2 linked regions of the Mus musculus genome follow. The protein of the gene in region 2 binds, or shares a complex with, the protein of the main gene of each other region. Links are inferred from orthologs where the notes say so. Each region holds a gene or a part of one and is shown on either strand. Other genes may lie near its edges.

Region 1 (4,186 bases), on a different chromosome or scaffold from region 2:
CTGTACACACGCACACACACACACACACACATCACTATCAGTGAACCATTTTTAAAATGCAGTAACAGCTTCCTCATACAGCAATAATATCAGGGGTTAGGAGGAAAAATGCAGGTACTTCCAAAAGATTCTGAGGAACAAGATTAAGAATGTTCTGGCTAGTTTTATATCAGCTTGGCACAAGCTAAAGCCCTTTCTCAGAGACAGGAACCTCAATTAAGAAAAACGCCCTCATAAGATCCAGCTATAGAGCATTTTCTTCAGTAGTGATCGATGAGGGAGGGCTGAGCCCATTGTGGGTGGTGCCATCCCTGGGCTGGTGGTCCTGGGTTCTATAAGAAAGCAGGCTGAGCAAGCCAGTAAGCAGCATCCCTCCATGGCCTCTGCATCACCAGCTCCTGCCCTCGGGATCCTGCCCTGCTTGAGTTCCTGTCCTGAATCCCTATGATGATGATCTGTGATGTGGACGCCAAAGCTGAATGGCCCTTCCTCCCCAACTTGCTTTTTGGTTATGGTGTTCATCTTAGTAATAAAAACCCTAACAAAGAGCTTATTTTCATTTGAATTAATATATTAGTTTAAGATGTATAAATAAAATATGAGTGAGGTTTTTTTGGGGGGGGATGGGGGACAAACCAAAAATATATATATAAAAAATAAAGACTGTAAAATTCCTGTACCAAGTTTTTGAAAACTACCAGTGAAGTGACCTTGCAGAAACACGTACTCCAAGGTCATATGGTTCTCCTGGCATCCTGACAGGGCGACGGAGGCCCAGCCCTGAGTTCTGTGCTTGCTTCATTGGCCTGGCCTCAGAGTACAGCAGCTTCTTTGTGAACAGGCATGCATGCCTGAGAGAAGCAAACAGCCTTTGCAGTGGGCACCTGATGCCACAGCCACAGCCCGGGGATTCAGGGAGGGCCGCTCGATTATCTGAGGAACTTCATTAACATTAAGCCATTAAGGGTGGCTCTGGGATCATTTTAGAAACCAGCCTCTTAGGCAGAGACATTTGGCAGCTCCTAGCCTCGAGTTCTGATCCTTAAACCAGAACCTGCACTGTCATAATTAAACAAAGGTTCAAAAGTCATTTCCATGTTGAACATGTTACATTTTAGAATACAACTTTCGTAGCTTTTTACATTTTTATTAAGGATCTCCCAAAAGAAACGAAGGTTTTCGCCCTGTATTGGCTCTCTGGTTCTTTGGTTTGTTCATGTTTTCCAAAGACACCTGAAGTACCTCATATAAGAAGAACAACCCAGATAGACAAAATGTAACATTCTCTCTTAGTCTCTTAACTTGAGTTTTTAGTTACTGTTGGTCTTTTAGCTAAAAGAAAATCCTATGTGTCTGGGTGTTTTGCCTACAGGTATGTCTCTGTAGCGTGCATGCCTGGTGCCCGCAGAGGCCAGAAGAAGGTGTTAGATCACTGGGAACTGGAATTACAGTCAGTAATTCCATGTGGATGCTGGACTGAACCATCTCAACAGCCCCGGTTACTGTTTTTGTTTGTCTTTTTTTTTTATGAAAGAAAATATGTTTAGTCCCATGGGGAGGGGAGGGAGGAGAGGGGAGGGAAGGACAGGCACAGAATTATCTGCCCTTTTTCCTTTTTAGATTGAGATGGGGGTCTCACTGTCCCCAGATTCTCTTCTAAATAATGATCTCCTTGTCTCTACTCTCCCAAGGGTTGGCTCATACCCAGCACAGTTATTGATTTAAAAAAAAAGTCTTCAGAGATTCTGTGTCATACTGATACTGCTCAAAGTCCTAACGGCTGGGGGAGGGAGAGCTAAATGATCTTTTTGTGGATAAGGACTAAGACTTAAAAGTAAATGGTGAAACACCATATCCCATAGGCAAAAAATAAATAAATAAATAAAAATTTATTTTTTCATGACTATATTAAAAATTCAAAAATCTCCCTATTCTTTCAACTAAGGAAGCATTGGTTTGTTGTCTGCCTTCTAAGACAAACGGATGAGTCTTTATAAAGAAACACAGGGCTGGAGCTTCTTGGGATGGCACTGCCTGTAAGGTGAGGGGTCCCCACAGAGACCACCCTTCCCCAGGAGGGATGACAGGAAAGTCAGGAGCCACCCCCAAACCTTCATCTCTCTGTCCCAATTCATAATGATTTGAAAAGTTTCAACTGCTTTGGATTTTTCTTTTTTGAGCAGTGTCTGGAGATGTAGCTCTTGGCGTTTCGAATAGGAAAACTGGAAAAGCTCACAGGGGTGCTCCAGGGACCCCGGGAAAAGTTGCCATGAAGAAAGGGGAGCTGCGGTTGGAGATTTGGGGTAACCCTATTCCAGGAAAGGAAATCCTTCCCTTAGGACTCAGAGAAGACGCACTGTGCGCCATCTCCAAAAACATCGGCAGTCATTCTGAAGTTCTAACTATGGCCTAAGGTTTCCCTGGTTTAATGAAAACAAAACCAAAGACAATCCCCCCGCTGTAACACAGACACTGCATAGTCAGTGTCAGCCGCAGTCACAAGGAAACAGTAAAGGCAGCCTAATCAGCAGCTCTGAAATGCCACCAAATGTCCCCAAAGGTCTCTTAAAAAAAAAAATTCTTAAAGCTCAGTTCCCATTCTATCCCTGTCACCCCTCACCCTCCGAGGAAAGAAAAAAGCAGGTTTTCTCTTGGGTCCTGTCAGTGGCTTTCTCACCTCCTGGTCACCTTTGCTGCTGGAGTCCTCTCTGGCTTCAGTGTCCGAGTAACAGGAGTGTAGACAGAACAGCTTCTTATTCTTCCTGCAGAGAGAACTGGGTGTGGGCTTGGCGCAGTCCACTGCAGGCTGAGGCTGCCAATGGGGGCCAAGGATAGGGAGGAGTTAGACACCCAGGCCTGCATACAGGGCCCCATTGAGTGGTACCCTGGGGATCCACTGGGCAGCCACAACTGGACTTGATCTAGAAAGAATACGGGTCTGTTGGGTAGGAAGTGTAGAGTCAGCTTCTCTGCACCTTTTAAATGTATTACATGAACATTGGCCCAGTTCCAAAGGCAAGGCTGGGGTTGGGAAGAGGAGAGAGACAACGTGGGTGAATTGATTTAAACAGCAAATCTGCAGCCAAGAACTGGAAACTTCTCATGCTGAGTGCTGGAGACTGTGTGGCCCTGACTGGCTTCTAAGGAGGCCTCTTGAACATCTTGCTTGTCTGCCAGCTTCCTGGTCCCCTCCTGCAGGTATGCCATGCTGGGGCTGGTGATGCTGGGTAGTGGTTACCCCCAGACTCCTCTTTGAGCCCAGTATTCTCAGGGACCAGCATGCAGTAAGTTAGTTACATACTTAGTACTTGTTGCACCTAGGGAAAGACCTGCCAGCTCTTGTCTTGGGGCTCTCTCTCCCTACCCTGGTCAAAGGTTATGAGTTGTCTGAGCCAGAAATGCCTGTCCTGTGCTGTGCTCTTTTTGCATAGGGAAGAAATGTTGCACCTCTTGTCAAGGCACAAAATGACCCCAGAAAGCAGTCTGTTCCTAACTGCCTATCTTCAGCAGCACTACACCTGAGCTTCAAATGGCATCAATTGTGCGCTCTTGCCCAGAAATGAGCAGTTGAGCTGGAGAGATGGCTCAGAGGTTAAGAGCATTGGCTGCTTTTCCAGAGGTCCTGAGTTCAATTCCCAGCAACCACATGGTGGCTCACAATCATCTATAATGAGGTCTGGTGCCCCCTTCTAGTGTAGAGGTGTACATGCAAGCAGAACACTGTATACATAATATCTTTTTAAAAATAAAAATAAAAAAAAGAAATCAGAAGTGAGCAGTCCTTTTGAATAATCACACAGAAGCAATGGCCCAAGCTGACCAAGCAAGAGAGGATAGCTTAGTCACACTTCCCTTTGCCCCTCGTGTTCCAAGTGTCTGTGGGAAGAGCTACATGACAAAAGACACCCAAATATCACAGAGACCAAGGGGTTGACTAGACATGTTAGGGCTCCAGTAAAGCTTCTCCACCTTGAGGAAAGGGGGCAGTGTCTCTTAGCTTTGGGGCAGAGGTATAAACTCCTACTCTGGTTCCTCCCTATTACAGGGGGCAACTCACCATTTATCTACATGAGATCAAAGCCACTGGTTCACAAAGATTAGGTCCCCTACTCTTCTTAGTCCCCAGTAGACAATAAAAGGGAGACTCAGGGAGACCATGATAATCATGACTGGGAAGGTTCCCTCA
Region 2 (4,210 bases):
CCCATTCTTCTGATGCACAGCATTTATTTCCTGGTTCCTTTCTCTGCTACCCATTTCCTGTGAAATCTAAAACCAATTTTTTCTGGCCATCCTCCTGCTCCTGAACACCTACCTGCCTGTTCCTTTCAAACTATTCCTAATTCCTCAAGCTCAAAATATCATCATCTCCTCTCAAATACTGAGCAGGCAGCACACACCAGCTGATATGGGGCCCGACACACATACAGCAGAGGACTGCCTGGCCTGGCCTCAGTGAGAGAAGATGCACATAACCCTCAGGAGACTTGAGGGCCCAGGGAGTGGGCAGGTCTGGTGGGATGGGGGTGGGGTGGGGATGGGGTGGGGCCATCCTCTTGGAGATGGGGGAGGAGGAGGAATGGGATGAGGAACTGTGGGTGAGCCGAGAGAGGGATAATGACTGGACTGTAAAAAAAGATTAAAGAATAATAACAATAAAATAAAATCTTCATCTCATGTTTCACAACCAAGCTTTCAGCAAATCTCACTAAGCTTAGCTTCCACTATATATACTGCCTCTAGAGCTACCACTCATGTCCAAGCCAGCATTTTCAGACTACTGTAGGAGCCTCCCAAGTTCACTCCAACTCTCCTGGCCTCCATATGCCAGCTTACTTAACCTGCACCAGACCAGCCACTACAGTTCCCACTAAAACTACACCTGAGCTTTAGGTATCCCATGGCTCCATTCTTCTTTCATATAAACAAAATATTAAGACTCTAAAATTGTACAATCACTGTTTTGGCATGCCTGAAATTTTGGAAGAATTTCATGTTTCACATGCCAATTTAAAAAGTTGCATACATTTTCAAAAGTATATTCTAGAAAATAGTAAAAATAATTGGCTGCCATGGATATAAACCCATGCTAGCTAGCCCAATTCACACAACTTACCAAATTAGTTACTTATTTAGTATTTACTTCAGAATCATCAAAATTTAAGTACGTGTTTTAAAAATCTAGACATAGAATTAATGTTATCAGTTCATTTTCCTTAAAAATCCTGATGCCAAGACTAAAAGCTAAAGAGGAAATTAGCCAAAACTGTCACAATGTCATATATTTGCAATGCTTTCAAAGCCCAACAGTGATTTTAAAAAGAAATTAAACAACATGCTCTTATTGAATTTTTAAAAATCTATACAATTCAAGCTAATGAAATATTTTATTATACATAGTAAAAGTGGTGTTTAAAAAAAAAAAAATTCCAGGCCCAGATGTCTGCAGGAGTACGTGAGGAATGGATTCCACTCGAGTATAAGCAGCAGAGCTACTGAATGAAACCACAAATCCACCAACTCCTTACAGTAAACGCTAACATTCACCGAGGCGTGAATTCCTGTGGTGGCAGTAGATATATTTTTAAAGTATTACAAACATGCTTATGATGCATAGGAAAATGGAGAACAAAAGATGCAGTTGCATACCATGTGGACTCCCAAATTTTCTAATTTACAACTTGTTAAGAATGACAATATACAAAGAAAGTATTTTAAAATAGTGTATGATTCACTGGTGATTTTTTTTTTACTCAAATAAATACCAAATGTTGCCATTTTAATGTCACACTGATATTCAGTTTCCAATCCAAGGGGAGGGAGAATCAACTGAGACATGTTCATGAGTTCAGGATTATATATATATTACAATCTGCCTTATAATACACTTGTGGCTTTGTGATAAAAATAACTCAGGAACATATGGAATTCAAGCTAATTTGCATAACTGTCACAAGAAAAAAGCATTAAATGCATTTCTGAAATAAGTATTCTCATTTAATTTCAGAATCTCAAAACAGCAACAGACCTTGGCCTTGTTTTAAAAAAGTTTAGTTAGACACTAAGCTAGCTAAATAACCTTGCTGAGAAGGTTTAACGTAACTCGTTAGAAAATGCTCTCCCTCTAATCTCCATCTTCCATGCTGGAAGAGGTGAAAGGAAAAGGTAGACAATTTCTTTAGCAGCATACATGGCTAAGTCCATCAACCACCTTAACTAGAGTGCCCATTACTGACTGACCCCACTAAAACTACCTGGGCTAACATCAAAAGCTGCCCCTTTCACAAGCCAAAGACAACTTCAGGGTTACAGTAAAGAAGGTACTTTTGAGATATTTCAAACCCTTTAGACATGACCCAGAGGGATCACCTCTTCATTGTAGGAGAAGGAACAGAGAGAGAGAGAAAGAAAGAGAGAGAGAGAGAGACTTCGAAAGGAGGAACAGAGTAAGATACTTATCTAAACTCATGTCCAACCCTCTGAACAAAGGAAATGGAACAGGTTATTAGCTAAGCTCTGTGCTCTAACCACACTACTTAATTACAGTGATCTTAGATGCAACAGCCCACCTCACTGGGCAGCTGTCAGCTCAGAATACTTTTGCAATAATTTTTGTAACGCGAAGACACTAAAACAATCTGCTCATGCAATTTTCATTTATGCATTCTGCATCTCTTTGCCAATCTTGTAGCTAAGGATCTTGTTCCAGTCGATCTTAGTACGTGTCACTGGCAACTGTCGACGTAAGGCTTTGAAGGTAGTGTCCGACATCGTCTGATAATTCTCACTGATGGCAGTCTACAAGAAACAGTGGTTAGATGTTTAAATCAGGAAACAACTACTTACAACACAGGACATTTTCAGAATACTCTTTAAGAAGCACACCTCACTGTTTAACAGTGAAATAAAAAACCCACAAAATGGACTTAAAGAACTTAAGACCCATCCCTCAGTGAACAGATACTTTAGAAAATCATACCTGGTATTCATTTTCTGCAGCTTCTACAATCTTTATAAATTCTTTTGCTGTTTGCACCTCATTCTGAAATTAAAAACAAAAAAAAGGAAAATTAAATCTCTCTATTTTTTAATTAGTTTTTTTCTCCATGGCTGGAATTGAACTAAGGGCCTTATACATGTTAAAAAAGCATTTCCACTAACCCACTATTTTTAAAGCCATTTAGCTCTTACTGCAGCTAGGCAAGGTAGTGCATACCTTTAATCCCAGACTTGGGGTGCAGAGGCAAAGACAGATGGGTCTCTATGAATTCAAGGTCAACTTGATCTATATAGTGAGTTCAAGACAGCCAAAGCTACATAATGAGACCCTGTCTTGAAAATAAATCCTAGGAACTAAGTAACAAACACCATTAATTCTAGCTGTGAGGTAGCTAAAATCCTCTTCTGGTGTCTACAAGAACCCATGTCAAAAAGCTGTCATTTTTCTCCTTTGGTGGCAGCATCTGGTCCAATGTAACCATAAACTTTTTAAAAGTCAATACCTCTGTAAAATTAATATTTACTTTATACTAGTACTTTTATATACAAGCACAAATATCTACAGGAAAATGTTACTGCTGATTACACTATTAGTATATTTGTAGTAGTAAAAAAATTGACAAGAAAATAGATGCAAAGACAACTAAAAGAATGTTGAAAACTTTGAGAAAGAAAATTCAAATACAAAAGCTCTTGAATTTGAAGGAATTTAAAATATTTAGTATTGTTTAAAAGTTAAGTACAGGGGCTGGTGAGATGGCTCAGCAGGTAAGAGCACCTACTGGTCTTCCGAAGGTCCTGAGTTCAAATCCCAGCAACCACATGCTGGCTCACAACCATTCGTAACAAGATCTGATTCCTCTTCTGGAGTGTCTGAAGACAGCTACACTATACTTACACATAATAAACAAACAAACAAACAAACAAACAAATCTTAGAAAAAAAAGTTAGGTACAGAGTCATGGACTTATCTTCAATGACCTTGTTTTAGGCATTGGTTTCCATTTCAATAATAAAAAGCACACATAGAAGAAATAAATGAATACAGTAAGACAGTATAGTAGCTTTGTTTTGCAAATGACTGTGTAAGAAAGCTGGAAAGACATCACACAGAAAGGTAAAAAGGGAGCCAGGTGTAATGGCACCTGTCTTTAATCCTAGTACTTGGGAGGCAAAGGAAGATGGATCTCTGTGAGTTTGAGGCCAGCTTGGTCTACAAAGCAAGTTCCAGTTCAACCAGGGAGTTTATAGAGAAACTGTGTCTCAAAAAACAAAAACAAACAAACAAAAAACTAAAAAAGGTGAAATTATTACAAATGACGTGATCCCAAACATGCATCTAGAATATAGTAAAAGCACAAATAAGTAATTAAGAAATTGCCAACAGGGGCTATAGAGATGGCTCAGCTTGGCT

Evidence for each region.
Region 1: the proteins of Capza2 (region 2) and S100b are in contact, whole or in part, in a crystal structure (PDB 3RM1), measured with the Bos taurus proteins. The link is inferred for Mus musculus from reciprocal best matches to the Homo sapiens genes CAPZA2 and S100B. Residues at the interface, in NP_001013016.1 of Bos taurus: Thr267, Lys268, Ile269, Trp271, Ile274, Leu275; in NP_001029727.1 of Bos taurus: Ile37, His43, Phe44, Leu45, Glu46, Ile48, Lys56, Val57, Thr60, Phe77, Met80, Ile81, Ala84, Cys85, Phe88.

The regions. Positions count from the first base shown.
Region 1 is NC_000076.6:76,252,450-76,256,635, reverse strand, and holds the start of S100b (protein S100-B), read right to left. Parts: upstream 2,801-4,186; 5' UTR 2,678-2,800; intron 1-2,677. UniProt on the Homo sapiens protein: Small zinc- and- and calcium-binding protein that is highly expressed in astrocytes and constitutes one of the most abundant soluble proteins in brain.
Region 2 is NC_000072.6:17,663,680-17,667,889, reverse strand, and holds the end of Capza2 (F-actin-capping protein subunit alpha-2), read right to left. Parts: intron 2,840-4,210; coding exon 2,777-2,839; intron 2,596-2,776; coding exon 2,455-2,595; 3' UTR 918-2,454; downstream 1-917. UniProt on the Homo sapiens protein: F-actin-capping proteins bind in a Ca(2+)-independent manner to the fast growing ends of actin filaments (barbed end) thereby blocking the exchange of subunits at these ends.